2 linked regions of the Mus musculus genome follow. The protein of the gene in region 2 interacts with the protein of the main gene of each other region in a biochemical or structural test. Links are inferred from orthologs where the notes say so. Each region holds a gene or a part of one and is shown on either strand. Other genes may lie near its edges. The genes, in order: Ect2 and Racgap1.

Evidence for each region.
Region 1: the proteins of Racgap1 (region 2) and Ect2 form a complex in vitro, tested with the Homo sapiens proteins (3 studies listed by BioGRID and IntAct, with this or other methods). The link is inferred for Mus musculus from reciprocal best matches to the Homo sapiens genes RACGAP1 and ECT2.

Annotation. Positions count from the first base shown.
Region 1 is NC_000069.6:27,143,791-27,147,609, forward strand, and holds part of Ect2 (protein ECT2), read right to left. Parts: intron 3,230-3,819; coding exon 3,047-3,229; intron 2,256-3,046; coding exon 2,166-2,255; intron 1,270-2,165; coding exon 1,162-1,269; intron 1-1,161. UniProt on the Homo sapiens protein: Guanine nucleotide exchange factor (GEF) that catalyzes the exchange of GDP for GTP. Promotes guanine nucleotide exchange on the Rho family members of small GTPases, like RHOA, RHOC, RAC1 and CDC42.
Region 2 is NC_000081.6:99,627,408-99,631,226, forward strand, and holds part of Racgap1 (rac GTPase-activating protein 1), read right to left. Parts: coding exon 3,702-3,819; intron 1,392-3,701; coding exon 1,227-1,391; intron 1-1,226.

The sequences.
Region 1 (3,819 bases), on a different chromosome or scaffold from region 2:
TCAACTGCAGCTGACAATAGATTCCTACCCAAGTAAGTTAGTGTCAGGTGACACAGTAGCATAGTACAATAATCCCAACCCCTGGGAGGCTGAGGCAAAAGATAACGAGTCTGCGGCTAGGCTAGGCAACATGGGCAGACACGATGCATACCTGTCATCCCAGAACTTGAGAAGAAGGGGGGGTTCTCTGAGTTTCAGGACCCCCTGGTCTATCCACAACCAGGGTTACAAAAATAGAGACCCTATCACAAACAAAATCCAAACATAAAAAGACCCTCTCTTGAGAGAAAAATATAAAATATTTTCTCCTTTTTAAAAAATTCTTTTTAAGAAAATATATAGATAATTTAGACATTCAAAGACACAGGTTTGTTTTCTAAGAGGGCTTTCTTTTCATAAAGCCAACAGTGAAATATCTGTTCTCACTCCTTGACCTAGCTGCCACTGCTGGTCATACAGCCTTTACTACCAATACTACCTACCAACCACCCCTCACATCACACATTTCTTTTCTTTTCTTTTTTTTTTTTTTTTTGGCTTTTTGAGACAGGGTTTCTCTGTGTAGCCTTGGCTGTCCTGGAACTCACTTTGCAGACCAGGTTGGCCTCGAACTCAGAAATCTACCTGCCTCTGCCTCCCAAGTGCTGGGATTAAAGGCGTGCGCCACCATGCCCAGCCCACATCACACATTTCAACATCTAACTTCAGTCTCCTTCAAGGTTTTATCTTTGAGACAGGGACTTACATAACACCGGCTAACTGCAAACAGCAGGAAAAGGCAGTATTTAACTGATTCTCCTGTCTCCACAGTGGTCTCCATGCTGGGATTATACTCGTGCACTATCAGGACAGGTATGCTGGGCTATGTGTGCTAAGCAAGCACTCAGTAGCTAAGCTATGTCACAAACCCTTTACTGACTTTCCAATGACAACCTCCATCTGATCCTCAAAAAAACGTACCATCAACAGAGGAGTGACATTATTAGACACAAGCCAGGCTTGGTAGATCATGCCTATGAAGGAGCTGGGAACTGGAGGATACTAATGAGTTCAAGGCTAACCTGGCCTACACAATCGTTTCTAAATGGTATATGATCGTCTCAAAATAAACATTACAGAGTAATACTATACTGAAAAGACAAAAACAGTAAGCTTACATACCCTAAATTTTTCGCCTTGTGTACAATTTGCCACCAGATGTGTTACTTTGGAATTACACTCTTTTCGAATAACTCCACCCATATGATGAACCAACGTCACCAATTTGACCTCAAAAGAAAAATTAAACAAAATTGATTTTAATTAATTTGAGCAAAATTTGTACTAAGTCATTTAGCATTAACTACTTTACAAAACTTTAAAAAAACACTTTTAAAAGAGTAGCTTGTTAAAAAAAAGTAGTTCTTGCTACATGTAAATCTATAACAAAGATAAGCAATACACAGAGTATTAAGCTAATAATAGGCAACCAACTCTGATACTGCCTAAACACACAGATGTAGTATTTTCATTTATTCACCTTCTATTTTTTTTTAACAATATTGGGAATTGAAGCCAAAGCCATATACCCACAAACAAATATATCAATTTCTTTTCTTACACTTTATCTTTATTTATGTGTCTGAGAGTATACACACACACAAGTAGGTACCCACAGAGGCCAGAAGCAGCGTCCCCCAGAGCTGCTATTATAGGCAGCTCTGAGACCAGACACGGGTGCTGGGAACCAAACTTTTGTCCTCTAATGAGCAGCAAGTGCTCTTAACCACTGAGCCATCTCTCCAGCACCAAAATATTGAGTTTTAATATCAGGTTATATAACATCAACATTCTTCCCACAAAATTACAGTAATACTTACTAGTTCCAACTTAGGAAATAATTGTGAACCAAAAAAAGTTTCTATGGCTTATTCATCAAGGTAAAAGTACTTTAAAGTTTAGCTTGCTTTAAAGCAGTATTCATTTTGTTACAAACCTTCAGTTGACCAGTATAACTAATAATTAACAAGAGAGTAAAAGAGTTCACAGTTATGCAACTTTCTAGGAATTCATGGGCCAACTATCACTTACAAACATGAGTTTTTAAATGACGTCACAACACCAAACAGAAATGATGGCTGGATGCAATCTAACCCTGCGTTACTAGGTCAGGGTCTCATACTTACAAGCTCCTCCTTCTTCCTGAATCCAGTGAAGCAGAGCACCAGGTTCAGCATACTCGTACAATACAGCGGCCGGCAGGAAAACGGCAAGGGCTGGAGGACACAATTCCAAACTCATGAGCCTCCTTCTCCGTTAGCATTGAGAAAGCATTTCCTCATGCTTAAAGATTTCACTCTTTACCCGTTAACTTTTCTGTCTTTTGTTTTGGTTTGTTTGTTTGTTTGTTTTTTCAAGACAGGATTTCTCTGTGTAGCCCTGGCTGTTCTGGAGCTCACTCTGTAGACCAGGCCTGCCTCTGCCTCCCAAGTGCTGGGATTAAAGGCATGTGCCACCACACCTGGCACCAGTTAACTTTTCAATACCCAAGGTTCACACACTCACATACACCTTCATACTCATTCAAATACACATCAAAAAGAAATAAAAAGCGCTGGGCGTGGTAGCGCTCACCTTTAATCCCAGCACTCACAGACAGAGGCAGGTGAATCTCTGAGTTCAAGGCCAGCCTGGTCTACAGAGTGAGTTACAGGACAGCCAGGGCCATACAGAGAAACCCTGTTCCAAAAAAACAAAAACAAAAACAAAAACAAAAAAAGAAGAAGAAGAAGAAAAGGAAAAAGAAAAAACCTAAAATAATTTTTCTAATTTAAATCGTATGATAATGGATATAATACTAGTTTTAAGTGGAAAAGAGAATGGCTTATGTGTGCACCTTCTTGGAAGCCAGGACTCATGGCATGAGCCACCATACCCAGCAACAACAAATTATTCTTATCCTAAGTGCTACGTGTACTCGACAATTAACAGCATTTTCTAATTATAAATTTTCAAAGAATGCATTAATAAAAATGTATTCTTGAGATGACAAACGTACGTTTCTTACCTCTCCCCTTTGTGCACAGTTGAGTATAACTGGTGGCCCAACAATCCTACAATCAGCCTTGTATAAGTCATTGAAGACAGAATTCTGGAAGTCAGTAACTACAAATATATTCTCAAATTCTGGGGAATCCAAACTTTCAAATTCTTCCATTGAGTCCATCTTTACACAGGGCACTTTCATTTCCTGGATTTTTTCATAGTTATTACAAATAAAAATAATTCATAGGTCATATAAAATAATATACGACTCCCTAAAATTGACTCCTGTATTTTTTTGACATCTTTTTAGAAATTTTAACTGTTAAAGTCTATAATTACCAACATAACATATAACAGTGTAGAATCATATTTCTCTACTTTATACGTCATATAACCCCATACACATTAAGACCTTGCTCTGAAGACATAAGCACAGGCTCTCTGACTCTGGTCTATAAGCCACCTAGCATGCACAGTAAGTTCCAGGTACTAGAATAGAACACCAGGTACTTTCCTTTCCAGGGTTGTAGTTTTAGTTGTTGGTAGTAATAGGGATCAAACCTAGAACTCAGAGCATGCTAGGCAAGCACTCTACCCATGAACTACTGAGTGATAAAATTATAGATATGAGCCACTAGGCTACACTTTTAAAAAAATGTAAGTACATGTATTTTGATTTAGGTATATATCCACCAGTTTTTATTCTGAGCAAGAAAAATGATAATCTACATATGCAGCTATCTTAAAAAAAAAAAAAAGAAAAAACCCCGCCGTTTAACACTTAGTAAAAGGTTA
Region 2 (3,819 bases):
GAGCGGATGATCCCAGTATACCCCTTGCCTACTGAAGGTAACAATCTCTTCCCTCTCGAGTCTTGGCTAGGCCTACATTAGCTCTGCACTCAACAAGAAGTAACCACTACTCAGTTTCGTGCTGGCATCTAAAGCCCCGTACAGGAGCGTCAGGGCTGCTCTGTGATATGGTCTGGCAGGGAAAAGCAGCCTGGAGAAGCTCCACAGCTGAGAAGATGATGGACTTACATTTGGAATAACAGTACAGTCAAGGCACTTATTACACACAATACACAAGTTGTACCTTAGTACACAACAGCTTTGACACTGCCAGAGTTTCACACCTTCTTTCTAGTGCTAAGGACCATGTCCCATGCCTCACAACCACCTGTAACTACAGCTAGAGAGGCTCTGGTATGCACATGCACACACACACACACATACATAATAGTAATTAAATCAGTCTTTGAGTTTTTTGACTAGACCTAAATAAACTGATAATTTTTATAAAATAAAACAGGCATCGTGGCAGAGGCCTTTAATCCCAGCACTCAGGAGGCAGAGGCAGGTGGATCTCCAAGTTTAAGGCCAGCCTGGTCTACAGAGCAAATTCCAGGACAGCCAGGGAAACACAAAGAAACCCTGTCTTGAAAAAAATCAAAATATTAATAACAATAATAAGAAGAAAGAGAATAAGAAAGAATTCACCAGGTAAGATCGAGGACAAGAACAGCTTTGAGTTCACGACTGTAAAGTTAAATGGTAGGAGCCAGGGGTAGGCTATAAGAATGGCTACTGTGCATGTGTGAGATCTTCCTAGGAGCGGGGGGGGGGGGGGGGGGACGACGACGACGACGACGACGACCTGCTGTAGAAAGGTCCAAACAACATTCTGACATTTTACTATTTCTATTCATTTTTCATGGAGGGAAATTTTATTTGAGATCAATAATTTTATATATATATTTATTATTATTATTATTTTATTTTTTTTGGTTTTCTTTCGAGACAGGGTTTCTCTGTATAGCCCTGGCTGTCCTGGAACTCACTCTGTAGACCAGGCCAGCCTCGAACTCAGAAATCCGCCTGCCTCTGCCTCCTAAATGCTGGGATTAAAGGCGTGTGCCACCATGCCTGGCTTTTTTTTTTTTTTTTTTTTTTTTTTTTTTAAGATCAATAATTTTAAAATAAAAACCTGACACTATGCCTTTTACAGACAAATGGTGGTTGGCTGCCATGATACTTACCTCTCCAATCTTAACCGGTGTCCCCACCAGGGGGGGGATGCAGGGAAGGGGACATCGGTCCCGACATTCTGGATGGGAGACCAAACGACAGTCTCGACACTTCAGAGACAGCTTGCCAAACTTGATCCGCTTTCCACACGGAACACAAGATTCAGGCTTAATAACCTGAAGATACAACAGGGCAGAAGCATAGAATAATATGAATAACAGTTATTGTCAACCACATGCATCAAGCGCACAGTGTGTATGAAACAACATTTTAGGCCCATCACACATGCTAATATAATAATTCCCACCACCACAACAACAATAGCAACAACAAAAACTGTAAAATAGGTCTTGTTTTCTTCATTTTAATCATAGCAGTGCTCTGGTGAACATGGTGACATGCTTTAATTCAAGTACCTAGGAGACAAAGGCAACTGGATCTCTGTGAGCTCAAAACCAACCCGGGCTACAAAATGAAGCCCTGTCTCAAAAAAAAGAAGAGGAGGAAGATGAAGAAAAAAAGACAAAAGGCCAACTGCCAATCCCTCCTCAGTTAGGGGTGGATCCTTAGGAGCCCTTCCCCGACCCGTGCTGCAGAACGTAGGAGTGGCTGTTCTCTGGAGGCTGCAGAGACGTTTCTCGTGCTCCAGTGCATGAATCCTCATACCTATGCATACACGGCAGCACTAATGAGACGCAATTAATTACTAAAAAATAAAAAGAGGACATGATGCTGAGTGCGGCAGCGTGTTGAGATGTTTTAGAGGGCCAGAGAACGGGGTCTCCACACACTACATGCATGTCTGAAATTCTCAAAGAACAGAGCTTGTCATACGTTTAGTAAGTGTTGACAAAATCTAGAGAAGCTGAAAGTCATACACTACTCAGCAATGTAAAATAAAATACAGTAGCCACCTGAGGGAAGGTCTAGGAGAACCTCAGAAAGATAAGCATAGCTACAAAACGACCCAGCAACACCACTTCTAGAGACGCATATCCAACAGGAACAAAAACGTCTACGAGACATTTGTGCACATATGTAGCAGATGAAGATAGAAAACCCTCAAGCTCTGTCCACTGATGGATGGATATGCGGCATATGCTTTCCATATAGGTGACATCATTCATCAAATTAATAAAGAGAAACAAAACAAACAGGCTAGAGAAGGGGTGACTGACTGAGAGAGGCCAGACACAAAGGCACACATACTATATGCCTCGTGTATAGGAAATGTCTTACAATAGACAGCCCATAGAGACAAGAGTGGTGTCTATGGTGGCAGCCAATGGCTACTGGATGTTGGTGTGGCATAGGACAGTGGGGGAAATTCTATTAGGTTTAGGATTTCACTTTTGGGGGTAAAACTGTTCTAAAATTGCTACTGTTGACAGATACCCAATTATATGACTACGCTGAATGTCAGCAGGTTGTACATTTAAATGGATGAGCAAAGCCAGGCAACGGTGGCTCACACCTATAATTCCAGCATGGCAGAGGCCAATGGAGCTACAAAGACAACTCAGAGCCTAAGAGAACTTATTATTCTTGCAAAGCACACAATCCAATTCCCAGCACTCATTGGGCAGCTCACAATTGCCTATAGTTCCCACTCCAAATGACCTGACACCCTACACTAAGATCAGCAATATCATGAAGGTAATTTTAAAGAAATTAAAGGGGGGGTTGCTGAAGAGATGGTTCAGCAGTTAAGAGCATCAACTGCTCTACCAAAAGTCCTGTGGGTAAAGGCACTGCCACCAAGCCGAATGGCCTGGGTTCAATCCCCAGGATGCTTATGGTGGAGGGAGAACCAGCCATGGCATGTGCACGCCCCCACTCAGCAGGGACATGGAAAATTGTCATTTCTGGGCTGGCGAGATGGCTCAGCAGGTAAGAAAGAGCACTGACTGCTCTTCCGGAGGTTCTGTGTTCAAATCCAAGCAACCACATGGTGGCTCACAACCACCTGTAATGAGATCTGATGCCCTCTTTTGGGGTGTCTGAAGACAGCTACAGTGTACTTATGTATAATAAATAAACAAAATTAAAAATATATTAAAAAAAGAAAGAAAACAGTCATTTTCTTTGAATAAAATTAGCATATGTGAGTGTATATAAAATCAGCCCAATAAAGTCTCGTGTAGATGTTCACCCTTTTAATCCCAGCACTTGGGAGGCAGAGGCAGGTAAATCTCAAATTCATGGCCAGCCTGACACAGATGGAATTCCAATAGCATTGGGGCTACACAGAGAAATCCTGTCTTGAAAAAAACAAAACAAGCTAAACAAAAAGAAACAATGTCCCCAGCCCCCTAAATAAAAAGATAACCAAACAGGAGAGGTGAGAAGGTGCTACAATCCCAGCATGCTGGAGGCCAAAGCAGAAGGTACAACAGAGCTGGAGGCCAACCTGGGCTACAAAGAATGAATCTGTCTCCAAAATCACACTAATTGCCTCAGAAGAAATGAAGCCATGTCAGACTTACCGTCTTTGAGACGAAGTCGTGCAAGCGCATGCCTCCAGTATTCTGAGGTGTGCCCAAATTGTCTGTGTCAGTTCTTGGCTCCAGTGGCCTGCTGTTCAGAGCGGAGTCACTGTTCACA